Drosophila melanogaster: one gene and its partners. The protein of the gene in region 2 purifies or fractionates together with the protein of the main gene of each other region. This does not show direct contact. Each region holds a gene or a part of one and is shown on either strand. Other genes may lie near its edges. The genes, in order: RhoGDI, Fkbp14, CG8036 and GstO3.

The links.
Region 1: the proteins of Fkbp14 (region 2) and RhoGDI purify together in Drosophila melanogaster (affinity purification with mass spectrometry, with the first as the bait; one large-scale study listed by BioGRID). This does not show direct contact.
Region 3: the proteins of Fkbp14 (region 2) and CG8036 purify together in Drosophila melanogaster (affinity purification with mass spectrometry, with the first as the bait; one large-scale study listed by BioGRID). This does not show direct contact.
Region 4: the proteins of Fkbp14 (region 2) and GstO3 purify together in Drosophila melanogaster (affinity purification with mass spectrometry, with the first as the bait; one large-scale study listed by BioGRID). This does not show direct contact.

What each region holds. Positions count from the first base shown.
Region 1 is NT_037436.4:19,926,991-19,935,704, reverse strand, and holds RhoGDI (RhoGDI), read right to left. Parts: upstream 6,963-8,714; 5' UTR 6,797-6,962; intron 4,891-6,796; 5' UTR 4,875-4,890; coding exon 4,691-4,874; intron 4,618-4,690; coding exon 4,508-4,617; intron 4,443-4,507; coding exon 4,328-4,442; intron 4,015-4,327; exon of another isoform or gene 3,968-4,014; coding exon of another isoform or gene 3,863-3,967; exon of another isoform or gene 3,793-3,862; intron 3,724-3,792; coding exon 3,527-3,723; 3' UTR 2,775-3,526; downstream 1-2,774. Other genes in the region: CG46462 (uncharacterized protein), read right to left, coding at 3,863-3,967; CG8004 (uncharacterized protein), read left to right, coding at 7,268-7,351, 7,425-8,150.
Region 2 is NT_033778.4:21,493,499-21,500,558, forward strand, and holds the start of Fkbp14 (FK506-binding protein 14), read right to left. Parts: upstream 3,713-7,060; 5' UTR 3,566-3,712; intron 3,277-3,565; exon of another isoform or gene 3,135-3,276; intron 2,027-3,134; exon of another isoform or gene 1,829-2,026; 5' UTR 1,827-1,828; coding exon 1,633-1,826; intron 1-1,632. Other genes in the region: CG46395 (uncharacterized protein), read left to right, coding at 5,133-5,315; TAF1C-like (TATA box-binding protein-associated factor RNA polymerase I subunit C-like), read right to left, coding at 5,519-7,060.
Region 3 is NT_033777.3:8,664,982-8,675,343, reverse strand, and holds CG8036 (uncharacterized protein), read right to left. Parts: upstream 7,477-10,362; 5' UTR 7,308-7,476; intron 7,229-7,307; exon of another isoform or gene 7,136-7,228; intron 6,733-7,135; exon of another isoform or gene 6,639-6,732; intron 6,264-6,638; exon of another isoform or gene 6,170-6,263; intron 5,816-6,169; 5' UTR 5,520-5,815; coding exon 5,416-5,519; intron 4,845-5,415; exon of another isoform or gene 4,439-4,844; intron 3,634-4,438; coding exon 2,035-3,633; intron 1,967-2,034; coding exon 1,789-1,966; 3' UTR 1,642-1,788; downstream 1-1,641. Other genes in the region: mRpL19 (mitochondrial ribosomal protein L19), read right to left, coding at 185-1,041, 1,094-1,157; CG8032 (uncharacterized protein), read right to left, coding at 8,248-8,430, 8,489-8,609, 8,672-9,446, 9,502-9,907.
Region 4 is NT_037436.4:8,515,524-8,521,577, reverse strand, and holds GstO3 (glutathione S transferase O3), read right to left. Parts: upstream 2,694-6,054; 5' UTR 2,625-2,693; coding exon 2,597-2,624; intron 2,067-2,596; coding exon 1,369-2,066; 3' UTR 1,283-1,368; downstream 1-1,282. Other genes in the region: GstO2 (glutathione S transferase O2), read left to right, coding at 1-43; se (sepia), read right to left, coding at 144-278, 336-904, 961-988; CG6765 (uncharacterized protein), read right to left, coding at 3,920-4,106, 4,161-4,262, 4,320-4,378, 4,512-5,065, 5,128-6,054.

The DNA of each region.
Region 1 (8,714 bases), on a different chromosome or scaffold from region 2:
TTGCTATATTTAACATTTGGAGCAACAAACTTGGATGGCCAATATCAAAAATCAATGCCAAAATGTAAATGAGCTAACCACCGCAAGCCCGTTCGAATAAATATATTCAGAAATCATGCAATTTCCTGGCCAACTTTGCAGCGAATCTCCATCAGAAAAAAAGCATCAACTAAAAAAAAAACAACAAATTCAATATATACGCAAATTATTTTCGCTGTCCGGTGGCGAAAAACGCAGAGCTTTGGAAAAAAATATATGCCAATTGTGGTGGGGGGTTTGAGTTTGGTTTTATGTCCTGTCGGCCACGCACAAATCTGATGACTAACTCCAGAGTTTTCTGACGTGTTCGACACTCCCCTTTAAACCAACTTGCCAACTTGCGTGTGCTCACTTAAAGCCACGAAAAGTATTAAAGCCATAGAAACTTTTTTATTACACTTGCCTGGCGAGGGGGAGGAGCATGTGACGTAATAAAAGTAAGAAGTAGGTTTTTTAAACAAAATTTAAATGAAATATAATTAGTGCGGTTTCAAGCTAACAAAAACACAACACTTAATTAAACCACAATTTTCAGAACACCTTATTCAACCACTAATTTGGGACTGATAACTAACAGGTTTATATAGACATAAGAAGAAAACGTAATAATAAAAACAATAGCCGCCCCCCTTGGTGCTTTCTATATATTTTCCACAGACAGCCCACTGCGAGTGTGCAATAAAATTCATCATACGCTACGTTGGCCCCTTTTGGCTGGGAACAGGATGAAAGTTTCGCACGTTGCTCCGTGTGCTGACCCGCATATGAAATTAGAGGCCAGCAGAAACCGAAAAGTTGCCAAATCTTTGTTGGATTTAATTATGCTTAAATGGGCTTAGCAAAAACTTGCCATAGAAGCAAAAAGGTATTCAATAAAGGTGCATGCCCATACATGAGATCTAAAATGAAATTAATTGAATTTCGAACAAAGGAAGTTTAATTTTGCCACATTTGACTACTATATACATATGTATATGCCATATTTTGTGGACAAATGCTGTGTTGTCCGTTTTGCCGTTTGCTGTGTGAAAATTATTAAATCTTGTTAACCAGGAGAAACAGGATAAGAATATGTAAAACAGTTAAATATATATTTTTTAAAATCATGCCAATGGGCAAATTGCATAAATGCAAACACATAAATCCCATTAGCGGCTATAAAAGCTGTGCATACATATAGCCATTTGTAGAGATTAAATATGCATTTTTACAGCGATGCCTGTGCGGCTTGACATCAGCTGCATTTCATGGCTTTTCCAGTGGAACAGATGCCAATAATCCTAGTGCTAGTGATGGGGATGAATTCGAAAAAAAATACAAAATTTATTTATTTAAAAAAATGTTAAAAAATATAAAAGGTTTTACACTTGAATAAACCAAATGAAGTTTCTTTCTAAATATCATAAGTATTATTACATAAGACATAATGAATAATGAATATAGTAATATTCAACAATTTGATTTAAGCGAGCATTCATTTCTCTCAGTGTAAAATAACAACAAGGTACCGTTAGCAGCACTGCCTACCTACACGGGGACAAAATGGCCACCATTCGCATTTCCGCTTGCGTGTGCTGTGTGAGCACTTTGCCTGTTGCGCTTTCTGGCCTGCTCTTTGATTGCATTTCATTTCTACTTTATTATCCGCATTCTGGACGGCTCCTGTTTTTTCCATTGGCTCAGCAGCTTTGCTGCAAATTTCATTGAGCCCCAGCCCGGATGCAATGGACCATAAAGGTGCAGCGGCGGGACAATTGGCAGCATTGGGCCAAAAGGCCACATTGCCACACAATGGGGAGTGCGGAATGTTGGAATGTCGGATTGAACAATGCGATTGAAGGCTGAAATTCGACGGGCCGTCTGTCAATCAAAACATCCTCGACGGACAGAGATAGACGTTCCTGTTTGATGCAAAAATATTGGTATTTCAAAGGTAATGTTAAGAGTAGTCGAGCTGAACGGCCATACCAAAAGACATATATCTGCTAAACCATTTGAGTGAATTAAAAGATATAGTATATATAATTTTTTGCTATGAGGAAATATATGAAAATGGCGAAACAAGCAAGACTTCTCTTATGTATACATGTAAGTTTTTGTTAGTTGCTTACCTGTAATTACTTCTCACGTAATGAAAACAGTGTGTACTTATTTTTCTGATTGTTTTGTTCCACATCCTGGAAAATCGCACCCTTAAAGGACCCCAAAAAACATACGAATGCCCCAGGCCATTTACCGAAAACACAAATGATTTGTTTTTCTTAAATTACACCATTTTTCTGCTGGCAACTATAGCAATTTCCGAAAAAGTAACTTGCTTATTCATGCAGGTTTTCGCGACTCTGAAGACAAATGTGCGTTGGAATATAAAATGCGGTTATTATTATTTTCTGTTCTGAAGCGGCGATTGTTGGGCAACATGCTGCTAATGTCTGGCGCAACAAGAGGCTGGCCACTTGTTGCTGGTTGCGAATGTAAACAGAGAAGTGTGTTTCACAAATTCTCTCTTTTGTACACCTTGAAAAATATTTGGTGACCGTTCACAGGGCGGATGAGTAATACTCGCTCTGCTGGCCACAATTTATGACGTTTGCCCCTTGGCAATGTAAGCTGATAAGCATTATAAAGTGTGAAGTCAACTTATCTTTGGCTACGGAGAAATCTGTGCACACACTGCCACTATAATTTATGGGATACCCATATCATGGAAAAAGAATTCGCTCACTTAGGCATTTATTTTAAAATATGTATCCTTTATTCTTTATTGCTCTTCGGTTGCATTCAATCAGCTTTCGCATATATGGTATGTTGTACACAAAAAATACACAGAGATATATAGTTAGAATAATGTGGATTTAAGTAACTCCATGTTGCACAAACTTCAAATGCATAATAAAGCATCAGCTTTAGTTGCATTTAACAGTTCGTGTTGCACGATTTTAATCGGTTTCTTTTTAGTTTTGAGGCGACTTGTTCTTACAATAAACTATTCCATTCTTCAATTTGAAATACACAGCGAAATGCAAACAACTTTCTTAAAGTTAATTACTCAATTGTTAATCTGTTTGAAAATGTATGTTAAACATAGGCAATGGCATTAAGAACCAAACGACTGACTGTCTGACTGACTGGTTGGCTGACTGACTGACTGACTGGCCTAGTGACTTGACTTGGTTTTGACTTGACTCTCATTGAGGAGGACTTAGGCGAAAAATGCTCTTCATCTGCACACATTCCAATTGCAAATAGGGTATCAAAAATACTTATCATGGCTTTACATTACACTTTAGTTACAAAAATATTTAAAATTTAATACCGTTAACAAAAATACTTGACGATCAATTACACTTTTGGAAAAATTCGCTTACACTTTTGGAACAAAACTAAACTCATTTACAAGGCATGTTTGAGGGAAAACAAAAAGCGTATGATGTATGTTGTAAGTTGTGTGTCGTGTGTGTTTGTTGTGTGCTGTTCGGTGTGCCAATTAGGCCCAGTCCTTTTTGATCTCAAAGGTCCAGTCCCACTCCAGGTGTATGTGCTTGTCGTCATCCGTGAAGACCGAACTGACCGAGTAGGTGCCGCGGGAGAATGTGCCTGAAGGTGCCTCCTCGGCGGGCGTCAAATAGAACTGAATCTCCTTCTTCGGCGGATAGGAGCCAACCATATGCTTCATCTTGTCAACTATGGAGTAATGCGAAAACAGTCAGTTTAGTAAGGATACACATTTGCGGATGGGCTGCACCAGCTTACCCACAACTTAAAAAATTATACATTCCGAAATTAGGGTTTGGCATTGGAGATAATGGAATACAAGTTATTCTCAACACATGACTAAAGTTAGTATGGCAATTGTGAAAAAAAGGATATAGGCAGCACTGCAAAATCCCACCAGTATGGTTGTGCCATTGAACCAGCTTTTACCCATTGCTAGAAACAAAACTCGACTAGCCCGCACAAAAGTCAATCAAAAACTGAGGTGTAATACTAACGATTTCGCGTCAGCACGGAAAATTGAAGACCTAGAAGTGCTCGCATAGTGTAACGTATGGAAAATAACTAAAAACAAGTATCTTTTGACCCGGTTTTAATTTAATTTTATTCTTACAATACTAGGGCACTAGGTCAGTAAATAAATAAATCAATTAATAGAAAATTAGGGTAGGACAAAAAAGAAATATAATTGCTTTGCCCTAAGTAAAGACATATAATGTTGATAGAATTGAGAGTGTAAATCTATTCTATATTCTGCCAATTAAAAATACAAATGTCATGTTTAAATACTCACCATTAACACCCAAGCGAGAAGTCTTTTGAACATACTTAAGGCCATGGACTATTTCACGCTGCACAATAAAATCAATGCGCACCTTGTACTGAACACCTTCTTTGATCACAAAAAGCTGTCGCAATAGGGTTTTGATTAACAAAAGTAGTCGAATGGATGATGATGGTTAATGATATTTACCTGCTTTTTCAGCTGACTAAGGTCACCGGTAAGATCCAATTCCATGTCGTCGCGTCCTTCGACAACGAGGGCCAGTTTCTTTACAATAACTTTTCGGGGATCATTGGGTTCTGGGTAAAAATGTTATTGCTTTAGTATATTCTGCACCCTCCACTTTCAGAGGCCAAGTTAACCGCCCCTTACCAACAATAATTTTCTCGGTCTGGGCGGCACCCAGGAGCGCCTCCTTGTAGCGCCGCAAGCTCTCATCCTCCTGATCGGCGGCCATTATTTCCTCGATGGTCTTCTCCGGCGGCGCCTGGTAGTTGGCATCGTGGACATCGTCGTCGTGGTGCTCGGGATGGTGCTTCGTCTCTGTTTCGGCCATGATTGCTAACCTAGAACTGTCCAAAGGCAATTGTTTGTTTATCAATCAATTACATTTAAATATTGCTTCGGATTTTGCTTAGTATGCGTCGGTTTCTCTGGGTGAAGCTTGTGGGTCATAGGCATATTTTTAGTAGTGTGAGTAACATTTTGACGATAATGATGTTGTTTTATACACATATGTATATGCCTCCATTTTAATGGCATGTGCGCCACCATATCTGCTACATCGTATCGGAGTGTATGAAAGTATTCCTCATTCAAAAAATGTAGGAAGAGTGTTTTTTCTTCTGAAAATTGTCGCCCTAAGGAGAGTTGAGCTCATAACTTAACAATGCAGGGAAGAAATTCGAAAAAAAAACCTGCCATCTAAATATATAGTTGAGTAGTTAGTACATTTGTTTCTACAAATTACAATGTTAAATATTGAAATTCAAATAACAACGATCGCAAACATATTCCATATACTTCGCTACTGATTACGTTATCATTCGCTGGCCATAAAGCGGGTTTATTTACTTTTTTGGCAACACGAGTGCCTCCGTTGCGAACAAATGTAGCCACTTCATAAGCCCGTTCAATAATATTGATTAAATTTCAATTATTAACGCATTGATGAACTGACGTGTTCTCTGTCTAGGGGGCGGGGCAGAGAGGGGCGCTCGACCTGCAGCTGGTCCGCTCGCAAAGTAAAAAAAAAGGTTCAACCAAATACGGAGCGGCAGTTAGATAAGGCAGGCGAACTCGACGGAGGGAGAGAGAGCGGATATCGGCATTGAATAATATTGACCAGAACTGGGAACTGGCGACAAAAAGCCAAACCCACCGCCCCCCGGAAAATGGCTTTATTGTTATCTTGCTTTGTTTTCCACTATCTAAATACACGTCGCCAGCTCTCTGTCCATTTTCAACGAATGTTGTTGGGCCAATAATAATTCTCGATTCTCCAGATTTGGCTTTATATATATGTACATACATATGCAGTGTACCCGGGCAAAAAAAATACATGAAATTGAATTGTTATTACTTGACATCGAGTTGTTGTTGAGGTAATAAAATTGTGTCTATACAAAACGATTTTGCAGGCCCATGTGTACATACAGTAGTAATAATGATGTATTTCTCAATTTTATACAAAACATATTTTGAAATTCTCAAAGCTAATAAATATTTATCTATCTATCTATCTGTTTTTTACTTGTAAATGTAAATATTATTGGTGCTTAAAAATCAATAGTTTGAATCTTAGTATCGGTTTTTAGATCTCATCGTAATATTTCCAAATTAGGCATATGAAAAGCACTCACAATTTCTCTCCGTGCTTGTGTGGGAATGGCAAAAAATAATAAACAAAAAATTTTCGGACTAACAACGCAAGTTTGGGCCAATAAATACAATCGCAACAATTAAGGATGGGTGAGAAAAGGTAATTTCAAGAACAATCTGACCGAACTGAAAATTTGAATTCCAAACAAATGTGCCAGCGTCGAAGGAAGTGCAAGCGAGAGGGCTTGCCAGAGAGAGAGAGAGAGAGAGAGAGAGAGAGGACCCCCCGCCAAAGACAAAGTGTGGGGATAATTCAGGGAAAAGTACGAACCATGCCACTTTTTTTTCTTCTCTTTTTTTGATAAAGAAATGTGCACGAAGAATGTTAAAACCCCAGACGAATGAATCACACACACCAGCTCACACACACACACACTCACACTGAGGCCGGCACATGAATCGTCACTGATTTTCAAGTAGAATTTTTGGGAGTGGTTCTTGGCCTGCAGTCACCCAACTACATACATTTGCTATCAATGCCAGCTTGTATTAAATTAATATAATAATATTATAAATATTTTTTTTATGTAAAATGCATTGGAAGGCACCGCACTCACACACACACACAGTTGCAAGTTGGCAACGACGCGCACTCACCTTTTAATATGCGAAATTAATCAAATAGTACGATCTCTGAAAATTAATCACTGAAAAGTAACTGTATGTTATATTTTTAACAACTTTTGATAACTAACTTTTAAACAAAGCAAATAATATAAAATAAGAATTACAAGTGTGAACGTATGCTTTGGTGGACAGAATACCAAAACGCGAGATGGACTTGAAGAAGTCATCCGTTCACACTGCTGTCCAAAAATACTTGCTTTTCGAAAAAGTTTTTAGTTTTGAAACAGCTTCCCCTAAATCTATTTTATACTTTGTAAGTATGGGTTTAAAAAGAAATTATTAATTAGTTTAACGAATCTTGCTGAAATGCAATTTCTAATAAGAATCGCTGTTTGGTCATTGTCTGCAACAGTCTGGCAACGCCGACAAACAGCTGCTTGTTACTTCATCGGCGATTTCGGTGTGCAAGTTGAAAAACACAATTTACTCCGTTAATTTACAATGACATCCCAGTACCTGAGCCAGCTAATAACGGCCGACAAATTGTCCGCCGAGCCCTGGCCCGAAGACGCCACCCTCTACCAGGTAAGGTCCTGGTTTATAGGTCCAGAATCTTCACTAACATTAACCTTTCATTAATGTGCATTAAAAAAAACAGCCGTATGAAGCGGAACAGATCCTACTGCCGGAAAACGCCAGTTGCCTTGCTGTGAAGGCTTACCTGAAGATGTGCAACCTCCCCTTTTTGATTCGGTCCTGTGCCAACGCGGAGCACATGTCGCCGGGCGGCAGGATGACCAAGTTGCCCTTCATCCGCGCAGGAGCATTCATCTTTGCCGAATTCGAGCCGATCGTGAACTTTGTGGAGCAGAAGGAACTGGCCATTGGCAGCTGGCAGGACGAGGACGAGAAGGCCGACATGCGCACCTATGTGTCGCTGGTGGAGAACATCTTCACCATGGCTGAGCTGTACATTAGCTTCAAGAACGAACGCGTCTACAAAGAGGTCACAGCGCCCAGGAACGGAGTCGTTTTTCCCTGGCCCCTCAATCACATGCAGAACTATGGAAAGCGGCGGAACGCGCTGCGTCTGTTGAAGGTCTATCAGTGGGACGACCTGGACATCGATAGCGTCATTGACAAGGTGGCCAAGTGCTGTGAGACGCTCGAATACAAGCTGAAAGAGTCGCCGGAAACGCCATTCTTCTACGGCGATCAGCCCTGCGAACTGGACGCCATCGCCTTCGGCCACCTCTTCAGCATTCTGACCACCACGCTGCCGAACATGGCGCTGGCCCAAACGGTGCAGAAGTTCCAGCACTTGGTCGAGTTCTGTCGCTTCGTCGATGAGAAGTACTTTCAGACGAGGTGCCTACCAAATTAGTTATACGTAGTCGTTGCCTTAAATGCTTATCAATTAAGTTGCTCTTGTCCTTTCTTTTTAACCGCTTATATATGCAATTCTAAATGCCCTTAAAACAAATCGTCGCCGTAAGTCACAATTATTTTGCTACTAGCATTTAAAAAAAAAAGTTGTTCTAGTGATTTTGCTGCCATTAATGTCCAAAAATCCATGTGAATATCATTTGCACAAGTGACTCAATCTGCAAGTTTGTTTAAATGGAATTCTAAAATACTTCTAACGATCTTTACTTCATTTATTTTGCAGCAAATAACTTTTCTGCTAATAAAATTGTGTAAGTATTTGCTATAATACATCAAATAAATTGTTTTCTTAGCAAACCAAAAAAAAAAATAGTCTTGATTTTTGAACATTGCTGCCTTTTCCTTTTCATACTTTTGAAGAAATTGAACTCTCGTTTATGTAAAGACCTTAAATACACATATAGTTTTATTGATTTATTGTTATAATTAATTTAGATTATTATTATGAATGCAATGTACACATCTTTGCATGCAGATGGCCGAACCAATCGCGCCACTTGTG
Region 2 (7,060 bases):
CGAAGCCGAAAATGGCAGAAGGAGCTGTGTTCGCAGCTTGAGGCTGAAAAGCAAGAAGTGGCTGAAAAGGATTTCTCGCACAAGGCGAACAGAAGATGGCGAATGAGGAGGACGCCTGTCGACATCCTTGACTGCACTTGACTGGCACAAAGTGCCTTGTTTGTTAGCCAACTTCGAGGGCATTTAAGCCGCAGCGCAACAGGTGGCAGGCCAGAGAGAAAAACGGCAAAGACGGGGACGCACTCTGATTGAGTTAGTTAGTTGGCCAACTCCGCCATTCCTGCCTCACAGAGACTTTGCCACGCCAAATTTAACAGCAATTGCGAAACTTTTAAGCCCCGAAAGAGACGAATTGCAACTTCCACATAATTTGCAACCAAAATTTGTCTACCAAAACTCAAGGTAAGTGAAAGGACACAACATGTCCAATGAGATGGATGGGAAAATGAAATGTTTTCCCTTTTTAGCATATGACAAAACGGGTTAAGCCGGGGCAATTTGAAATACTTGGGGTCAGTCAGACGTTTATAAAATCGTTTCCCCTGCGAGAAACACAATTTTCTGGTCGTAAAATTAAATCAAAATTTGATAACTGAGAGAGAGAGTGGTGGAGTAATGCCCTCACACTCAACGTATATTTTATTTATATGCAATCAACGGACAATATATCAGTTTAGTTAATCTAGTTGAGGTCGCTTATCGACAAGTTTTTGCCCCAGCTGATATTTATAAAACACTGATAATGAGTTTTACCGCTTGCCAAACGGTTACACAAAGATTTTTTGTTTGCCTGGTGGCAAACAACCCACTTTGGGGTGTTAATTAGCCGCACATGTGAAATAATTTGGTTATCCTTTAAATTTAATTGGTTTTTTGTATGGCTATCTGGGCTGGGAGCTCAAGTTTCGCTGTGGCTTTTATTTACAGGATTTATTACAAGAAAGTCAAAGGTTGAATATGAGAAAGAATATTTGAGATAAGAAAATAAGTAGCGCCTTATCATTTTCTTTAATTGAAACTACTGCTTAAGAGCTAACTATAGTTTGAAAACAAATTGTTTATGGGTAATATTTTTAAATGGTTTTTAAGAATCTTATTTGTACCGGAAAACGATTTCTTTGCTTAATGAAGCCAAAAATTGAGGGCCGCGTCACTATAAACGCCCATAACCCACAGAAAAATGAAACAAAAAGCGGGAAAATGGGTTTGAGTTTGAGTTTGGGTTGCAGGAAGAAGGGGGGCATTCAGGCATGGAAAATGCACCAGCAGCACAAGCAAAAAACAACAACAACAGCGTCAGCGACAATGCAACAATGAGATCGCTTATCAGTTGGCGTCTAATTTACGGCAATGAGCCGCCGCGACGACAGACTGACTATGCAGCACCAGCAGCTTTAATCCCATACGGAAAACACATGTATCTGCGAGTATGTTAATCTGCATCTCCAATGGATGCGTGTGTGTGGAGATTACGGACAGCATCGGCTTTAAAAATATTTCATCCTGAACTCTCTGACATTCTGCCGAAGTTTTTGGGGCAATGTGAAATAATCACTTTAGCATGGGATTTAGCTTAGTTCATTGATAACAAAGTGTGCCTATTTTAGTTTTGTACACTTTAAGATCACTCACCTCGAGTCGAATTTCTTGCCATCGGCCTGCAGAGTTCCAGTGTAGTGCATGGTGAGGGAATCGCCGTTCTTGGACTTTTGTTCGCACACCTCCGGCGTGCTGATCACCTCCACTTTCAGATCCTGAGCCCGGACCAGGCTGTTGCTGATGGCCACCAGCAGAAGGCACGAGATAACGAGATTGGATTTCGACATGGCTGCAAGATAAATGGGCAAACTTGATTACCACAAAACGTAAGAGACTTTCAAAAAAAGGGGAACGTGTTTATGCACTCGACTACAAGGAGTATAGTAAACCTTATAAAGAGTTTAAGATTTGCTAATCCTTAAAATTAACTGAGTTCGAACTACAGACGATAAGATCCACTAACTCGAAACTAAACCGAAGCACCAATGTCTTGCTCGGATTGATGTTCATCACTTTTATACACACAGATTCATCATCACTATCATCTACTCGCCATCATCTTCGTTTTAATCGCGTATTAGCGTTGCACAAGCGTTAAATGATGAATTTAAGCCAATTACCCGGAGAGGTGTAACAGTTGTTTGCTCAACAGTGTAAAGTTGAAATTGAAATCGTATGGATGGCGAGGGGTATTCGCAGCGATTGCGAATGGGATGCGCGAACAGCAAAAATTAGTCATTATGCAAATGTGCAATTCATTTTCGAGTGGGGAACCGAATTCGACCAACCAACCAGCTTTGACCATCTCGACCAGCTGGAGGGGATTATGCAAGCCAAGACCCAAAGCCAAGCGAAATTATTGCGCGTACGCGGTGGCGTATGCGTAATGACCATCGTAGTCATTTCCAATGGGATATGTTGGTGGGTGTTTCTGGTTAAATGAAAGTTTTGAAAGCGCCTAGGTCACCCAAATATAAAAAAAAAGAAGCGAAAAAAATTCGAATAGCCGTAAAATAAAAAAACTAATAAGGCAAACAAAAAATAAAATATGGTGGGTCTTTATATAGTCGGAAAACTTTCACTAATGGAAAGGCAATGGTCAAGCCTCAATTACGTGAAATCGGCATTAACATCTCTTGATCTTCCTCTTCAACTGCTCTCTTTCGCTTCTGCTTCTTTTTCCTTATACAGTGAAATCTCAGAGACATGAACACACATATGCCTTACTTTTTTGCTTAAGCTTGAAAATGATTAATTACACTAATAAGTTCATATGCTATGATATGCAATTGTTACAGTTAAGACCAAGCTGAAGCCAGAAAATCCACAGATTTAGGGACTAGAAATACTTCAAATACTATAAATAGATAAGACGAGATGGCCTCCTGTGGCTAATAATCCTAAAATCACATTTTCAAATATATTTCAAAATCTTTTTTTTCAGAAGCCGCTTCACTGTACTGAGCGTCCACTTTTTGGCCTTAAAACCTGTTGGGCGATCCAGCTTCTTCGTTTACACACGTATCTTTTTGTTTCAGCTTTTTTTTTGTGTGTCTTTTATGAAAGGTTCAGTGAACTGGCGGTACGAAGTTTACCGTAAGCGATCCAATTTACAGACCGGCGCTAAATGTTTCGGAAAATCTTTTCCTAAGCGACACGTCAGGAGTTTTCCTCTTATTTCGAATCAGAAATGCTAATTGCTGACCCGAGCCGATCTTTAGCAACAAAAGCAAGAGCAAATGACCGGCGATATTTTTTTATTTTTATTTTCATGGACTTGTAGCGATAAGCTCTCTTTCTCCTCCTCCATCATTCGGTTTTCTTGGGGCGTATGTGTGTGTATATATATTTATTTGTGTATGCATGTGTGATGGCGTGGACTGAATATGAATGGAAGAGACACGACAGCAATGGCAAAGTACACGCTTTCTTTCGATTTCTCGATTTTCATTTCTTAATGAGCACATTTCCAAGATGTTTACGCTAAGCCAAGCACACGATTTACGATCTGATATCTGTAATATACCTTTGGTCTTCCACAGACGGATATCACTCGATTCCGGCGAAGGGGCGGGGGCGGATGCGGCGGGCGAACAACAGAAAACACGCGAGCAAACGGCGGATGTGAAGTGCAAACACGTCCGATTCGATCGAAGTGCGGGCGAGAAATGCTGGAACCGAAGCCGCCGACGTTGTTTTACTAACCGCTACTTCTACACTCAGAAACATTTTTGTGGCACTTTGCAAGTTAGACCAGATTATTTTGTAGTTTAGTTTAAAATCTTATTTATATATATTGCATTCCTCCAAGTTTTTCATAAGATTATAGTTTTTTTTGTATTTCAATGTTTTTTTCATTATATTCCCTATCTTTTTTTTGGGTGCACCCCTATATAAAAAGAGTGGAAATCTTCAGAGAGACCCGGAAAGTGTGAGCGGGAGGAGGCGGGGGATCGTGATCCACCACCATCCACACGTGTAAGAGTACGAGAGAGAGTGAAAGATCGTGTTTTTGTAGAGCCAAAAGAGATTCACATACTGTGGGAACGCGATCCACAATACGGGGGGCAGAATAAGAGAGAGCACTTGTCCACGTAATCAAGCAGAAACTTGTTCAGGAGCGGATCAGGCGGACTTAGGTTAAGACACAATCAAAGGTGTTCCTTATCCCAAATAAATTAGTTAATATGTAAGATTAATTTTTTAAAATTTAACTTTAAATTTATGATTAATCAGAACTTACAGGAACAATGTAATACCGAAATGTATTCCAAAAAGTTATTCATTTTTTATTAAGCTAATAATCGTTTTGAAAAATGTAACAAAAACGAAAAATATATGGAACACGAAGGACACACAACCTATTCAAGCAATTGCTCAAGTTTAACTAAAAGGAGTTTCCAAAGAATATGCCGTAGTCTACATGTTGCTGGCATCAAAGTTTAAGCAACATTATGCCTCGCCTACTTTTTCTAGTGCGCAGGCGCCTCTTTTATTTTATTTGTGGGTGGAGCCTGATAAAGAGTTAATTTAATGATTGGCGAATTAAATTCGGCAAAATTATGTGACATTTTCTTTTGTTTTCATACTCTAATTTAATTTATTACAGTTTATTTTTAAACCGTGCTTGATAATTTTGTACACTGGTAGATTAATACGATACGATATAATGAAAACGATTAATATTAAGTGTGCACATATGTTGTCAAAATCAATTTAAAAATTTTTTAATTCCCAATAAATTTTTGGAGCTGAGCTTCAGCATTGTATCTGTGAATATGCCAATGTTCCCGTCAATAGCATTCAATAGTTCGCTGCATTTAGTTCAAGATAATCTTTTCCAACTAAAAGCTTTGGATGCTCAGCTCAACCGAGCTTAGCTTAAACTAAACTAAGCATATATTCTATCTATGGCCACTCCTATGGAATTGTCACCCTTGGCTCGTTTACGCCCCACTGAGCGCCGACGAGCGATAGATAGATCGAATCAATCAATTAAATGCAAACTGCCCAAATTAATTGAAAATCAGTCGAAATCTGAGGCACTCTCTAAACGGTCGTGTGGCGTGTTGGAAAAAAAAGGGCGAAATATAATGCTGCACGGCGATCAAGATAAGCCCAAAATGGCAAAACGATCTGTGGGATACGCCCTCAAACGCAGGAATGATCGTTTTGTGGTCGAGCCCATCGAGGGAATCGTGAATCCAGCCTACGAACCCGATCTTGGTGGAGATACATCCTCAACCAGTGACATCAATCGAAAATGGCAAGTATAACAAGCAATAAAGTTTTCGGGATGGGCTAATGTGAAGTGTGTGTTGTGTTATTCAAATTATTGCAATCGAATAAAAAATAAAAAACATTTAATATTGTTGGCAGAAATCTAAATTCTAAATCTACTTACTTCTATTTAATATACTTTATAATCTGCTATTTATTTTTGTTAAATTTAAATTAAGGTTAACAACTCTAACTTAAGCTAGAAACCCTTTACGTGTTTAACCTTGGGCCTCTTAGCTGGCGGGGCACAGGGATAGTCCTCGATGATAGTATTCTGGCCGGGCAGCAAGATAGAATACTCGCGGCCAAATTCAACAGGCGATTCCTTTTTGGGACTCAAAAGGCGCTCTCCGATGTCCTGATCGGAATTAAGGGCTGGAATGACTGAATAGTTCGCTGTAGTGGCGCCATATAGCTTTGGTAGACTTGTACCGGGAACCATGTCGGGATTTCCCTCGGTCACCTCGTCCTCAGTGGGTACCACTGTCTGACTGGGCAATTGTTCCAACCAATTGGCCATGCGTTGTTCAGGTTCCAGCTCCTTCCCCTTTATACGCTCATCGAACATTTCTCTTGTTACGTCTCGTGTGGTGTCGTACTCCTCCATATCCCACACGTCCAGCAAACGGGTCGACATCATGTCCGTGTAGTGGGACAGCTTGTAAGCGGATTTCTGCCAGGGACCGCGACTGATGCTCTTCTGCTTTTTAACATTTCTCTTACTGGCAGCTTTCCTTTTGGGTTGCCGTTTTGGTTTCACCTTGGTTTTTTTCTTAGGCGTTTTCTTACCACCTTTCTTGGATTCCGAAGGTTCTTCCTTTACCTTTTCAGAGGCTGGGCTTTCATCTTCTGAAACATCAGTATCTTCTATGCCATAGTCAATTTCGATTTCCTCTACGATTAAAGGTTTTTCTTCAGGTTTTGATCTTTTGGCACCATCTCGAAAGATGTCTCTTATCTCTGGTATCGACTGGACTTGTGTGCAGCGGATGTTCTCGCGTTGGACGCGCTCATTAACGGCATTGGCAAGGTAGCGAATGGCTTCCGTTGTATGAGTTCCGGTTCTGATCTGCTGGACATGCTCCTCTTCATCCCTAAGCGTTAGTCTTTGGCAGTAAACATCTCCCAAGCTGTTGGAGGTTAGCAACTGGGTAAAAGCTTGATCACTGGCCCCCTCTAAGCCAATAAAGCGCATTCCTGTAATGCAGGTCGTTACCCGCTCTGCTATATCAGCATAGACATCCACAAATCCTCCCAAGCGAGCATCTATTAAAGCTTCTTCCAGGGTTACCGGCGCAAATGGTATTGCCGGCGAGAACATTTCATCGACACTTTTTGCCTGAGCTCCTTGCAGTTCACAAATTCGCAAATCTTTGGGTAAGAGTCCACCTAACGCAATATATTCACTGTCCTGGTGAACGCTTGTGTCAATAAAACAGGGTGGATAGGTCATCTGATGCGTCCAGGTGACGACAGCTCGATCGGTCAGCTTTTTACCCAAGCATCTGATATCCAAACAGTGGAAGTTGTGATTACTAGCCACATACAAGAGATTAGGATTCACACCCTTGGCCAAACAAGAGAACCTCTCGCAAGCTTTTGAGTGAACGCCGCTGGCAAAGCAGGGATTCAGAGGCAGATTGCATCGCACATCTACGGTAAACAAAACTGGCTGTGTTAGGCAGTGAAAGGTGCTTTCCTCTGCTTGCTTTAACTGTGCCCAGGTACTCGAGGTTTTCTT
Region 3 (10,362 bases), on a different chromosome or scaffold from region 2:
TGCTAAGCCACTATACTACAATTATGACTAATAAACTAATTAATTTAGCGTTATCCAAACCATATTATTGCAGCCTCAGTCATTTTTTCGATGATAAAACCATCTTTATAAAGTAAAATCGTGGAAAACTATAAAACAACATTTTTTCGATATTTTTATTCTAAAAAATGAACAACAAATGCAATTACGCCAGCTGCTTGGGCTTAATGAAAGTGCGCTTGCGCTTGTTGCGTTTTCGCTGCAGCTCCAGGGCGTGCAGTTCCGTGTGCACCTCGGCGAAGATCTCCGTCTGCTCCTCCTCGGGAATCGAGCTGCGGTAGTCCTTCATCATGTCGTACTTCTCCCATGGTTTCTGCACCTTGGCCGCCGACAGGCGATGCTTGTCTTTTAGATACTCATCGATGTTGGCCACACCACGCAGATTCTGTCGTTCCCAGCGCTCCAGCCATGGACGCGGACGGAGCACCACCTTAATGTCGTTCACCGGCACCGGAGCACCCTCCTCGAGCGGCTCGGCCTCCATGTTCTCATCAAAAGTACTGTACTCCGGAAGAGCGTCCCGCAGGTAGAAAAGACTGTCATCCAGTCGCTTCTCTAGCCGCAACACCTCGATCTTTAGGATGGTAGGATCATACAGCTCGTAGACCACCTCCATTCCCTGGTGATCAATCACGTTGCGAAGAATGAAACGGGCGCGCAGTCCACAGCGATCCCTATTGATACAGATACCCACAAATCGACTGGTTTTGCCAGCGGCATGGGGATCCGAACTTGTCACCGCAAGCACAGATCCAACGTAGAACTCGGGCAGGTCGATCTGTTTGCGGCGATCCAGCATGTCCAGTCGCTCCAGCTTCTCGCGCACGAGGTTGCGCCACTCCACCTTCGGATCGGGCAGGAATTCTGGGTAAACAAACCGATAATTGGCCGGAATGATTGTCTTCCGGTTCACCGGTGAAGTCGGCGTGGTTGGCGGAGCCTCTTTCTTCTGTTCCTCCTGATTTTCAATTACATGTTCCGCAGTTTTGGTGGAGAAGGTCACTGAAAATACGTTTCCTGAATGTGTGGCACAAGATAAAACGTCTCTCCTTACCAATCCGCTTGTAGACACACTGCTGTGTCAACCTATTCAGCATAACTCTTGTGCTTAAGTTCATTTTGAATAGTTTTCGGGATCGGCTGAAACAAATTGATGTTTAGATAATCATGCCGCACTATAATCAGCTGGCAGCACCGATAGCTACAGCAGAGTTATCGATAACCCTTTATAATTGGAAGGGTACTGCCAACTTGTTAGTTTTAAGCTCCGATTTTTTTTAGAAAAATATTAAAAATTTGTAAATTAAAAAAGTATGCAGTATGCTTAAATTTAAAAAATTTATAATTTTATTCATTTTCTCATCTTATCTTTATTTCAGTATCTATGTCAAATCAACATCAAGCGCATAGCAAATCCAGAGATAAACCAAAGCAAAACCACAGCAAACTAAAAACAAACCAAAGCAAGTCTAAAGCAAACCAAAGGCAAACGCAATGAAATCGTCCAGCCATTTTAAAGGCATGCTTAACATGTAATAAGTAATATAGTAAATAAGTAATATAATATGTAAATAAGGTATATAGTTCGGCTTAACTATTTTTATTAAAGATATTTTATTTCCATGATGTAAGGTTCAAATCAATGAAGCAATTAACAATCTTAGAGGGAATGGTAATATTGGAAGTAAGTAGTAACTGGGGGAATTCCTGTAGGCGGTAAATGAATGTAGCCAGATCACGACTGGTCCCCTAATCCTTGAGGATCTCGTTAACGGCGTTGACGACGTGACGTGCGGAGATGCCGAACATATCGATGAGTACCGACGGAGGACCCGAACGTGGCACGGTGGGCACGTACAAGTGCTTGACAACGAAGTTGCGCTCGCCAGCCAGGGCACTCAGCACAGCTTCACCCAGGCCTCCTTGCCTATAAGAAATTAAGTAAATTTCAAGTTAGCAAAGGAGGCAAATAAAAAGACTACAAAGAACACTTACTGGTAGTGATCCTCCACGACGACTACGCGTCCTCCGCACTGCTTGCCGTGCTCGATGATCAGCTCGGCGTCCAATGGCTTCACGGTGAACGGATCGATCACACGGACGGTGATGCAGTTCTTCTCCAGCTGATCGGCGGCAGCCAGGCACTCGTACAAAGTGATTCCAGCTCCGATCAGAAGCACCTCGTCGGAGCTCTTTTGGCGCACCACCTTGCCGCGGCCAATGGTGAAGGGTTCCTCGTTGTCGTAGATCACACAGGTGTTGGGACGGGACGTACGGATGAAGCAGACACCCTTGGTGTTGGCGGCCAGTTCGACGGCACGCTCCGTGCTCACTGCATCGGAGGGATAGAAGATGGTGCTGCCCGGAATGGTGCGGAACATGGCAATGTCCTCCAGACCCATCTGCGAAGGACCATCCTCACCGATACTGCAGCCGCAGTGGGAGCCCACAAAGTTAACGTTCGTCTGCGAGATGGCGCCCATACGGATCTGATCGAAGGCACGGGTGAAGAAGGTGGCAAAGGTGGACACAAAGGCCACAGTGCGGCGACGGCAGGCGGCTCCAACGGCCACTCCCACAAGATTCTGCTCAGCGATGAAGCACTCAATGTAGCGCTGCGGGTCGAGGTTCTTCAGCTTGTCGGAGAAAGTTGAGTTCTTGGTGTCTCCGTCTAGGGCAACAACACGCAGGTTGTTCTGGCCAATCTTGGCCAGAGCTGTTCCATAGGCCAAACGGGTGGCAATGGAATCACCCAGCTTGTAGGCGGGTGGCGAGCTCAACTTAATGTTGTTGATGTCCACGTCGGGAGCAGCACCAGTCTTGGGCACCGGCTTAGGGGTCAGCTTGACGTTCTTGTTGACAATCAGTCCCTCCAGATGCTTCACCACTTCGGCGGCCTTGTCGCCCAGTGGCTTGCCGTGCCAGTTGTCCAAATCCTCGATGTTGGGGAAGTCCCTGCCCTTGAACGTCTTTGCAATGATGGCGGTGGGCTTGTTCTTGGTGATTGCAGCACAATGGAAAGCCTTGCTCAATTCCTCGACATCATGACCATCGACAACGACGGCATTAAAGCCGAAGGCCTCCAGACGATCACGGTAAACATCCAGCTTATGCTGCAGGGAGGTGGCCTCCGACTGGCCCAAGCGGTTCACATCAAAGATCACGCAAAGGTTGTCCAGTTTATAGTGGCCGGCAAAGTGCAGCGACTCCCAGATGGAACCCTCGGCGGACTCACCATCACCCACCACCACGTAGGTGCGGTAGTCGGCCTTGTCGAAGTTCTTGCCCACATAGGCCATGCCAGCGCCGACGGCGACACCCTGTCCCAGGGATCCAGTGCCCACATCGATGAAGTTCAGACGAGGCGTCGGGTGACCCTCCAGATCGCTGTCGATCTTGCGCAGGTTGTTCAGATCCGCGATGGGGAAGAGACCAGCCTCAGCCCAGGCGGCATACAGAATGGGAGCAGCGTGTCCTTTGGACAGGATGAAGCGATCGCTGGAGGGATCGCGTGGGTGCTTCAGGTTCAGGCGCAGCTGCTGGAAGAACAGCACGGACATGATCTCAGCGATCGAGGCACATGATGTGGGATGGCTATAAAGAGGGAAAAGTAGGCAAAATATTAGATTGTGACAAGGCATTTCGTTTGCATGTAGTTCTAGGTTAAGGTAAGTGCCTAATGAATTATAGAAGTCGACCTCACGGTGGGTAAGTGAAGGCCGATCAACAAAGGAAAAGTGGAACTGAACACTGTGCATACTTGTTAAAAACGTTGTTTAATAAAAGAAATCCATTTGTCTATTGAAGCTTTTATTTAAACCCCCCCCCCCCCCTCTGTTCATATTTCAAATGAAGATTTCTCGAGTATCCAATTGCAATGTACATATAAATAAGATAAGATCCATTCTTGGAATTCAATGTTCCCATGCGATCGTGTTCCAAAAAAAATTGCTTTGAATCGCAGATCTGGCACAACTCCAACCGCAAAGAAAACACGCAACCCCAGACAAAATGGGGGGCTCGTCTTACCCCAGACATATAAATAAACTATAACGAGTACATGCATATGTATTTATTGGCGTTATATGGTGTGATATGTGTGTTTGTCGCGACGTGAGTCCATCGCAATTCCTCACCGGTTTCTGGGACCTTGAACTTTTCTGATCACCAAAAAACCTAAATAATAGCCTTAAAAACCAAATTCTTGGCTTCCACGATTGTGTTGCATGGCGATCTTTGTGAACGCACGTGCTTCTAGATAGTTCCGAAGTGCGTCCCCGTTTCCTGCAGCCATATCAAGAACTATTGAAGGTGATACGGAGTGTTAGCAGTGACCCGGCGCGCTTTTTTTTTTTTTATCAGTTTTCAGTGATTTTCGATTATCATGCGGGGAACACACTTGAGCTGGTCACCTCTAATCGGTCATATCGTGGTCAATGAGTAACCAAACCGGGCTTATCTCGTCGGCAGAGGTCACATTTAGAGCAAACAGAGCAGATCTTATCTTGAACCGTCACAAAAAAAAAAAAAAACGAAACAGAATGGAAAAACTAATGGAGGCGATAAAAGTGTTTTCCTTATCAGCATAGTAACTTTTTTATTTACTGTTGCAGTAATAATTTGATCGCGTCTATCCGAGATATAATTACATTAAAAGCCATACAGTCGTAAATCTCAAGTGTAGGGGATCATTCCATTACTATTCTCATCCCTCTCTTTCCAATTCCACTCCCGTCACAAGCTGTGCTTTCCAACACTTGTATGTACATATGTACATACGTATATTAAATGCCTCTGTTTGATATGTAAGTATGTTTGTTTTTACCCCATGTACATATGTATGTGCTTTCGGCGTTTTGAACGCCACGCACAAAACAAAAGCAAAAGAAATTAAAAGGCAGTAAGAAAAACCTAACGTTTCAAGGTTGTCTAAGGTCAAAAAATATTAGCTCACAATTTAAGGTAGGTGAACGCGGCTTATCACTGAGCACGCAGGCAGGGCAACAAATTCGCAAATTCACTAAAGCTACTGGACAACACGTGGGTTGGCAACTGAATCCCAGGAGGGGTCACTAAAGGAACCGGTCTTCCCATATTTTACTTCTCACATTCATACAAACATAGATGCATAACTATGTATATGCGTAACTATTTTTGTTTTATTTTCTTTTGTAATGTTTCAAAACACATACATATGTATGTATGTATTTAGCAGCCCCCTCAAAAACTTTTTCGCACCCACCCTGGAAATGGAGGGGGTCACCTTTGAAGCAACAAGTGCAAGGTGCACAACTTTTAAAATTCACATCTACACAAACAAATCTAAATACGCACACTTTAATATGCCTATGGACTTTCAGTTATTGATAAACTTACCCCGATTTGGAGGCCTGGGTGGCGTTGATAGAGTGAATTCGCAGTTTCTGGGCCAGATCTTTCAGATCCTGGACGGTCTTAGCTTCGGGCTTGTGGTACGACATCTTTGAAATGCGAATGTAAATTGGATCCGAACAAATGCGGTTTTTGATATGTTGCACAACAAAACTCGGGAGTTTCGGATTCGTTAGCCAAAGGGTGACTCCTCTATGTTTGCAATAGACAGACAAGAGTATCGACGTGGTGGATAAGTAGCTCGAGTCGGAGTTATCAACGGACCACTGCTGCCGGCTTCTGGGAACGAACTGCTCTCGTCGCCGGCACTTCGGTCGCTTTTACGCTGTGGGGGCTCAATCTTGGGAGCGGACTCGCAAAGTATCGGTATCGTCTATCGTCGGCGCTGGAACGAGATGGATATATGTATAAATATGGCATCTTTGCTCGCACACCACCCCTTTATCGGTGCACAGCTGTGGGTGGGTAACTAGTTAGTTTCAAATAGTGCATTGCTGCCTTTCTAAATTCATGCACAATTTTGGTCTAAAATTAAGCCATGAACAGTTGTACCTGAATATTTTCTCATTAAGATTTACAATGCTTTAGTATTTAATATAAGTTTACAAGAATTTAAGGTCCTATTTTTCTGGCCGCGAGTATTAAAGAGCAGCGGTGTTTAAGAGAAGTGCCCTCTCTTTTTGTCACTTTCCCCACCTCGCTCCTGAACAAAAGGTGAATTAGCCGCAAGCGAATTTAACCTTCGATAGCTCAGTTGGTAGAGCGGTGGACTGTAGTTGGAAAAACATGCAATAGAAATCCATAGGTCGCTGGTTCAAATCCGGCTCGAAGGATCGAAAAGATATAAATACCTTTTTTTTATATATTTTGTAGTGCACATACCTTTTTTTTTATATATTTTGTAGTGCACAATTTAAATCAATTTAATTCATCTACAGACATTCAGAATATAACTGAGCTGTTTAAACTAAATAATATAAGAAGGATTTTATTTGGAAGAAATAAACCGTAACTAAATTGATATAGTTTGTGAAAAGCGCCTAGGCTATTAGGCTTGGAAACTATAGGCTTACTGCAATGGACTGAATAGAGAAAGTTGATCAATTTTGTTTGACCTAAATAAGTAAAAATCAAAAATAAATAACCAAATACGGTGCATTTCGTTTGTGCGCATGCATAAAACGAACAACGGCCAAGTTTGAACTCAACCTTCGATAGCTCAGTTGGTAGAGCGGTGGACTGTAGTTGGAAAATTATGCAATAGAAATCCATAGGTCGCTGGTTCAAATCCGGCTCGAAGGATTTTTTGTAATTTTTTGTAATATCCAATTCGTTTTTGTTTTTATAGTAGCACCCGTACCCCATAAAAAATATATAAAATAGTATGCAATTATAAACATGTAGATGCAAAAGACATTTTATAAACACAATGTTATATAAAATGAATAATAATTTGAAGAATATCAATTTTAAAAACACGTGAAAATGAACATGTCTTACTTTACGCGTACATCAATATATTATTTAATTTTAGCTTAGCAACAATCAAAAGAAAAGGTATTTGAACGACATGGCATATGCTGTCCGTGACCTCAATCCATTAAAAGCTAAAATACGCATTAATTAAACCGATTACCAACAAAAGTTTATTGAAGAGTCGCGATGAATCGGATACCCGTTGTTTAACCTACTCCCCAGCACGCCCCCTTCGATAGCTCAGTTGGTAGAGCGGTGGACTGTAGTTGGAAAACATGCAATAGAAATCCATAGGTCGCTGGTTCAAATCCGGCTCGAAGGATTTTTTGTCGAATTTTTTACAAGCCATTTTTAATGCATTCTTGAATTCAGCTTAGTCAATCCTTTTCATTTCCACCTACCTTATCCTTATTAGCTTTTTTACCACACCTTAGCTAAGTTCGAGTAAATGTATCCACAAAAAATTTACGAGTGCAATGCGAAAGACTTTCAAATAATTTAGGATATCTACATATGTTTTGAATTATAGACTTTTGTTGGCCTAAAACCAAAAGCACAACTTGATTTTTATAATACAGATCTCTCCCCATCGTTAAAAAATCAAAACTTTCTTCGACTTGTGTTTTACTATTTAAAATTATACATTTTCATTCAATAATTTATTTATTTAATTTATTTATTTATGCGTACAAGTCGATATTTTTGTCACAAATACAAATAAATATGCAGATCCAAGTGTTAGAACGGACTTATGAATACCAACTTTTCCTTTTCCGCCTTAAAGAGTCAACCAATGCATAATTTAGTTAGCAAAATAGTTAACGTTAACAATAGTTACTTTCAAATATACATTAGTTGCACTCATTGTTCGATCGTCTTAGTGTCAACCTTTTGGTGCAACCTTTTCTACGTTAAATACGAATTTATAAAAATAGGCAATATATTTGTATTCATACACTTATGGTTGCTAATCGGTAATTAGGTCTAAACAACATTATGTCTTTGTGCACACTTTTTCGTCCAAGTACAGTGAAAGCTGCTGCGGGTGCACGGTCTGTTCGAGTTGGCAGCACATTGATCAGCTCAGCTAATTCGTAACTTTTATTTATAGTAATGTACAAGCGGGTTCCAAATAAATTACAAAATAATTGCATCAACAAAATAAAACAAATGCTCACAAGGGATGTACAAAAATGAGTTAAATCGTTTTACGACGCTAGCAAAATAAATTACAATCGAACAAATTAAATATCACTAGCTAAAAAGCGTTTAAAGAGTGTACAAAATAACGTTAATAAATTATAATACAAAATCGATGAGTGGTCGTTGATTAGCTTAGACTCAGTCCAGGGCAATGCCCTGTATCCAGGCGCTCAGATCACTGCCGTCCGACTCCATGATGATTTCGTCTGGCTCATCGCTCGCCAGCAAATGCTGCGCTGCCGTCCGTCCGCTCAAATAGGCGCCGTGTACGGTAGAGTAGAAACTGGAATGGGTGTGCTCTCCGGCAAAGACTATGGCGGGCTGGGGAAATATATTAAAATGTGAACAATTGCCGGGGAAGCAAGCTTGTAGAACTGACCTTCATGGCTTGGGGCGTGGCATAGAGGGGCTGGGCGAGGTTCTCGATGTCCTCCTGAGTTGCGCCCACCGGTATTGAGGTGTATGCGCCACCGGTGAAGTCCTGCGACTTCCAACTGGTACTACAAATAGATTTTTCTTTAATATACAACATTCTTAACCAAATAATGTTTCTTTGCCTTACCAAACACATCGCTTTGGCTTGGGCACGTAAGGATCCTGCAGAAAGTTCCTAAGTATTTCCGTACACTTTTCAGCCACTGCCTCATGGTCGAGCTTCTCCATGTACTCCGCCTCCCGGCCCGAGACCCAGCCCAAGAGCAGCGTGTCCGTCACCTTGGCAAACGAATATATCTTCTTGAACCAATTCTTGCTGAGATACGCTTCGCTGGCCAGCTCCTCCTCGGAGCTGTTCATATCCCGCTTATCGTCGTCCCACAATAGCATAATCTCTGATATATCGGCACTGAGGAATGGTCGCTCGTACTCCAAGAAGATCTTGTCCACGGTGCCGAACATGAGATTCTCGATGGACTCCTGTTTGTACTGCGGCAGCACAGGATCGAAGAGAGTGCGATGGGTGTTTTTCAGTACGCCTAGCGGTATGGTGCATATCACATGGGCTGCATGGAACACTCGACCGTCCTCGCAATCTATGCGCACGTTGCCTGCAGGATAATCACAATTGCTGCTGGTGTTGGACTCCACGGAGGCGCCACGAATTTCCCCCGTCGGCACTTCCGTCACCGTTCGTTCAGAGTCGTCTGAATGCTCGTCCTCCGAGTTCTCGTCGACTGTCTCCAGCCCAGTGAAGGTCTTTTTCCGCTTCCAGTGGATTTTCTTCACCGGGCATTTGGTCAGTATGGACTGCTTGGCTATCTGAGCACCCAGCGGTCGCAGAATAGAGCTATAACCAGTTGGCAACACTATATTGCCTCCTTGTAGCTCAGTGTAGCTGCCTAAAATAAAATATATATTCATATTGTATATACTTTATTTTTAGCTTAGCCTTACCAAGTTCGAGGAGATCCACCTCGTCCATGTTGTTGCAGCCGGTAATGCAGGTCTCTCGCTTGAGCAGGCAGTTAAATATGGATTGCTTGAGGCGTTTTTCCTTGGGATCCTGGACCCCGCTCAGATAGATTTCGATCTCATAGTTAATGTGCTCTCCCACGCTGTGTATATCCGGCGGCGGGCTGTACTGACACAGGAAATACTCATCGCACCGCCTCAGAAAGCAGACGTACGCCTCGTAGATCTCCTGAAGTATGTTAAAAGGCACCTGGTGCCCGTCCTCCGTGGTGGCCACCACCTTGTGCGGTTTCGGTACGTTGACCACGCTGACTAGACCATGTTGTACGGCCAGCTCAAAGATGGGATTGCCCAGAACGCCGTGTATCCAGTTGGCGCCAAGTTCTATCTGTGAAATAGAAGTGTTTAAATAGGAACATCTCAGATAAGTAGGCAAAGCTTAACATTTAACTTTCTAGTATAAAAAAGATAAGAACTGACCTATATTAGATAATTTAGGGGCGTAATTAGTACATGTGAAGTGAAACAATGTGGAAAACTGGAAAAATAATAAATTTTTCAGTCCCATAACTAAGACTACGTGATCGTTAGCCCGCAAACCCGTGAGTTTTTCAGGGCATTGCACTAGATACGTCATCATTGGCTTAATTCAGAAAACCCCTATCTAATCTGACAAACGTTGCCGAAGAAAGTTGTATAACAAATTTCTTGATAAGGTGCCGCCAAACCGATCAAAACTATGCTAATGAACGGAATGAAAATCGTGAGTAAGATTCACGACAGATGCAATTACATTAATTACCCCCATGTAAGCATATGTAACAAATAAAGCTAACAATAGGC
Region 4 (6,054 bases), on a different chromosome or scaffold from region 2:
TGGAAATCCCCAGTACGACATTGCCTTCAAGGGTACACCATAGAACGACAACTGGTTTAGACAAGATCAAATCTTTGGAACCGGTTATGGACTGCATTTATGTTTTATTCATTCCATGCGAAAAATTCAATAAACCAAGTGCATCAGGCATCCTTGACCAGCAGATTGTAATTGGGTCGACCCAGGCTCCGTGTACGCAGGAACTCCGCCTGAACCTCGGCCTCCATGTAGAAGGCCATCACAGCCGGATCTCGTTTCATGCGTTCCAGCCAAAGGGTCTGAAAAATGGTATACTAATGTACTTCATCACTCCTGGGATACACGGACCTGCTCACCAGCTGGGGGAAGCGACTCTGATCGTAGTTATAATCCTCTCCACGCTGCAACTTAAGGAGCTCGAGGCGCTCACACCAGGGCCAAATCATATAGTCCAGAATGCCCGTCTGCTCGCCACCAAAGAATTCCGTACCACGTCGAGCCAGCTCCCTTTCGTAGATGTCCAGGCCGCTCCAGAAGGGCTCCAGATCACCGCCATCGGATGCCTTGAAGAAGGCACCTAACACCGCTCTAAATCGCTCGATTAGTAACTTGTCCTGCACTTTCTTCAGCGGATCACGTGGATAGAGTGGTCGCAATGGATACTGCTCGTCCAGATATTCACAAATCAGTAGCGACTCTGTGAGCACAGGTGGTCCAGGTTCTCGCACGATTTCTAGAGCCGGCACCTTGCCCTGTGGATTCTTCTCCAGCAGCCACTCCGGCTTGTCTGTGAGATTAATGTAGATGCTGTGATACGGGATCTGCTTGGCGTCCAGGACCAGATGCACCCGTTGGGCAAATGGGCAGAAGCGCATCGAGTACAGGCGAAGGATACCATCTTCGGGAACATCCGGCATGGGTGAGCCTAGTGGGCGCATTTATTATCAATTATGATTATCCTGGTTTCCTGGCTCTACCCACCTTTTGCCAAATGCCTGCCGTTACTCATGATGTGCGTGCTCGGGTCCAGAGATGCAAGTGGTGATAGCGATTGTCATTCGAGTGATTTATAAAGTGCAGCTCACTGCCCTTCGCCGGTTGGCTTCGCTTACGCGGCTGAACTTGGTGGCTTGCGGCTGACACACATACCAAGCCATGTGGATACAGTGAAGCCCCCTTGCAACCTGCATATTGCTCCAAAATATTTGTTTAAAACAAAACTTTTTAAGAACTAAGTTTTTCGAACCACGTTCTGTGAATCTGGAACGGAATTCTTGCCTTTCTAGCCTTAATTCATTTCTTTGTCACATAAAATATTTTAGTTTTTATTGTTTTTAGAACATTATTAAATCTCCTTTGTTATATAATAGTTTCATTTTCAGTACCGATCTAAGCCAGCAGATCGTAGTTTGCATTGCCGGCCTTGCGGGTGCGCCAGAACTCGTTGTGCTGCTCGGGAGTGGCATAGAAGGACTGCACCACCGAGTCCGCCTTCAGGAGGGCAATCCACTTGGTGATCTTCGGGAAACGACTCTCGTTGAAGTTGTACTCCTTCTGCAACTTCAACTCGATTACAGAGAGGCGTTCGAACCAGGGCCAGATCATGTAGTCCACGAATCCCGGCTTGTTGCCGCCAAAATATGGGGTGCCCCGCTTGGTCAACTCCTCCTCAAAGATATCAAGTGCCGTCCAGTAATCCTCCAGACCGGTGCCCTGCACAAGGATGTTTATGAAGGCACTGGTGATGCTGCTGAAACGTTCCAGCAGAATCTTGTCCTGTGCCCGCTTCAATGGGTCCTTGGGCAGCAACGGATTCTCCGGGTACTTATCGTCCAGATACTCGGCAATAATCAGCGACTCGATGAGCGAGGGCTCACCCTTCTCCGCCACCAGCTGCAGGGCAGGCACCTTAAGCAACGGACTCACTTCCACCAGCCACTCTGGTTTCTCGGTGAGATTGATGTAGACACTGTGATAGGGCACATTCTTGGCGTTCAGGACGAGATGAGCCCGCTGAGCGTAGGGACAGAACCTCATGGAGTACAGGCGAAGGACTCCATCGTCAGGGAGTACAGGCTTGGGGGAACCTAAAGATAGAATTTATTTACCAGTTAAATTTAGGTTATACAAATAAATCAATAACTTCATGAGTCACTTGTGGAACCCTAAAATCCACCCCTGTATTATTATTTGTTTAGCAAGTCATTGCACTTAAGTTAATGTTGATAGGGCCCAGTCGTGATAAAGCTCAAATTTTGTAGCTACGTTATCTTTTAGAGTGTAAATATTATGGGTTATCTGATATCGGGGTGAAAGCTATAGCTAAAAATGTAAGTAAATTTTACAAATCAAATAATTAATTTAATGCATTACCTACAATTGTAAAAGAATAAAGATCGTATTGAAATTTACCAAATAATATACCTTTCTAACTTTTTAACCAAAAAATCCCAGTTATTCATGCCAATATTCTTTAACATTATGAAATATAAAAATCGTTATTCGATAATTACGCTGAATGTTGGAGAACTTGTTTTATAAATAATACTATAAACACTCTAATGACATGGGCGTTTCTCTTGGCGGCGGCGACAACTGGTTTTGCTTGCTCTCTTACCTTTGGCCAAATGTTTACCAGAACTCATTTTGTTTAATTGCAGAACTGAACAAATTCGCTTAACTGTTGAAATGTCGACGGTGAAATGCGAACTGAGTTTTCTCTTCGACGGCGCTCTGTTTATATAAAGTTTTTTGTTTGTGTTTTAACGCGAATAAGAATAATCGAGCTTTTTGCGACGTGACTCTTAGTTTTCGTTAGCTTTTAAAAACGATTTCTCATCGCAGACGTTTATTTCGATTTAAAACGCTTTACTACATTTGCGATTTGTTTTGTGGGAAGAGACAATCATTTCCTCCGCATTATACATAGTACATCTACTTAGTTTGTTAATAATCACGCCTGTTTGTAAATATAGATATATTTTGTTTTTACATGGTTTGGGGGGAGCTTTATTTTTGTTTTTAATTGAACCTCGGAACTACTACGTACATTTAGAGTTTTAAGTTTATGAACTTTTCGTAAAAAGTTTCGATCGGCGGACTTTCGAAATCAAACTTAATCTATGTACAAAAAAGTTCTCGAAATTTCCGTTCATGCCTTACAAAAAATACAAAAAAGTATTAATACATATACAACAGAGTTGCTGACATCATTGAGTCGCGATAAATAGTTGTTATCAGTAATTGCATTCGAAAAACCAAATTGGAAAGTAATAAATAATGACAACTACACTTGCTGCTGGAATTAATTGTTTATCAAAATGTAAAAAGATCCTTTCGCTGCTTTTGGTCCTACAAATGGGATTTCTTTTGATGCATCCTTTTGAAAACTCAAGTGGATGATTAATTTTTAGTTTTTAATTCATTTTAAAAATGTCCGCAAATGGTAAACATTAAAATTTAATGATTAAACTGTATCGTTTTTTTTCCCGAATCAATTGCGCGTTGTTGTTACGGTAAATACATGGGATAAATAGCTAAAACTAAGTAAATACGTACACTTAAAAAAATTCTACACACTGGAGTTAAATGTTGCTTTGCTTTCGTTTCTGAATTTCTTGCTTTGTCTTGTTTTGCATCGTTGCCTGACGATTTCCATTCTAAGTTTCGTTTATAGTTTCGTTAATTTTTTTTTGTTCGCAATTTGTATTTTGTTTGTTGCTCTATAAAATATGCAAACTGGTTGCATTTTGATCACGGTTCTTGCTGTTGCATATAAACATCCATCTCACTTTTGATTATTGGAACGACTTGAGATTTTTGAAAATGAATGAAGAATATGGCTGTTTTCAAATTTATCCATGGGCATCCGGTTTCGAATCCTTCAGCTTCATTCGCCAATGGTCCAATGGTTCTTTGAAGTTGATCCCTATGGCTGGCCTTAGCCATTCGGTGAGGTGGATGCTCCAGGAGATGTGGTTGTGGCCACTGCATCGCTGTTGCTCATCTTGTGCAGCATGAGGGAGTGCGTCGATCTGGTGGCGGTGGAGCTGGGATACTTTGGCTGCATTTGGCTGTTGGACACTGTGGAAGAGCTGCTGGTCGCCGGCGGTGGCGGTGGCTGCTGGCTGCAAGTGAACAGAGTTCATCAGTGTGCTTTTGCTAGCCCTTAGGACACACACCCCTTCTGCTCGCCATCCTTCTTGCTGTTGAACATGGCCAACTCGATCTCCGTGTGCTGGCTGTTCATGTGGCGCACCCACTCCGCCGGCGTATCAAAGGATCTGCACATGGGAAAGGGAGTTAGTATATATTTTGCTTCTATAACTCCAAACACTTACGTGGAACACAAATCGCAGAGCAGAGTTACGTGATCGTGATCCATATTGTTCTCCTGTTGCTGAAAAACACAATATATAATCTGGTTTTAATACATCCAATAGATATTGGTAACCGATCATCACTACGAGTTAAAATCATACTTCAGTAGATTTGGATTTATTAAAGGGATGAGTTGCTGTCCAAGTACTCACCGAAACGCGACGTCGTTTCTTTGGCACATAGGTTTTAACAGATCGCAGGGCGAGGTTGCTGGAGGCGGATGTGGTGCTCCCGCTGGCACTGGATGGCAGGAGATTCCTCTCCGTGCCGCCCGTGGGATCGCCGGCATGTGTGCCCAGGTGACGGACCAGCATTTTGGTGTCCTCGAAGGACTTCTGACAGATCTCGCAGACCAGCAGCTGCTTGAAGTTGTTATAGTCGCGCAGCGTGTGCTCCTCGCTCTCCTCGGAGGGTGTTCCGCGATCCCTATTCACCTCCAGCTTCACGGCGGACATCTTGAAGTCGAGTGGCTGCTTGGGCGAAGCCAATGGCAACTCCTCCAGATTGTTGTTGTTGGACGCACTGGAGGCGTTTGGTGGGTTGTTGCTCCAGTCGGTCGGCTCCTGTTTGATGGTGAGGAAGTTGTGCGGATGTCGAAGGGTCGGCGGATGTGATGGTGGTGCCTGCTGTGGTGGTGGCGGAGGTGTGGCTGCCAGGCGAGAGGATACCACGTGCTCAAAGTGTGGTGCTTCATAGTAGTCCCGAGCTGAGGGGAATAAAACATGGGATTAGTCATCATTAGCAGCTGTGCTGAGTACTCTTACTCACATCTTTCGCATGCGCTCTCCCTCCTCAGACGTCGCTCGAAGACCAGGCCCACCTCGTTCCGCTCACGAAGTGCCTGCTCCTCGTACTCTGTCCGCCGCAGCGTGGTCTCCGCTTGGTCAGCACCTGGTCCGGCGGTCAGGGGACAACTGCTGCAGCCCACCTCCGTGCAAATGGAAATGGGCTGCGATGGCGGGGCACCTGAACCTCCAACTGATCCTCCTCCTCCTCCTACTGTTGTCGTTGTGGTGGTTGGTGGTGGTGGGTGAGACTGCGACTCCAACTGACCGGGTGCCGCGAAACAGCATTTGTCCTCCGGATCGATGGCCACCTCCTTGTTGACGGAAATGCCCAACTTGCTGCTGCTCGCGACGGTTAGTAGTCCTGTGTGGGCGGCCAATTTGGGTGACTTAATGATCACAGGCGAGTCCTTGGGCATCACGGAGGCACCAAGTCCACGAAACTGCTGCTGGGGATTATGGTGATTCAGGTGGCTGTGGTGTGACGACAGGTGGTGGTGATCCAAAGCGAAACGTGTCGATCCACCCGGCTTGCTGGCATATAGATCTCCCTGAAGTTGCGCCGACATGGTTGATTGTGGCGGCGGCGGAGGGGGCGGCAAAGCGGTTCGAGTGCCATTCGACATGTACATGGTGCTAGCCTCTCGCGGATGCAGATGCCCGGCCAGTGAATGGGGATGATGTGTGGTCGTGACCACTGAGCCGGATCCACCGCCATTGGAAGAGCTGGTGCGGCAGAGGCCACGGATCTTGAGGATCTCACCGCCGCGCAGGACCTCGTTAAGTATGTCGTTGGAAACTGTGGCCTCGCCGCTGTACATGTACTGAACCAGGATCTGGATGGCGCGATGGCTAAGATCCGGCGGCAGGACCACATACAGCACTCCATTGGGATTGGTGATCGGTGCCG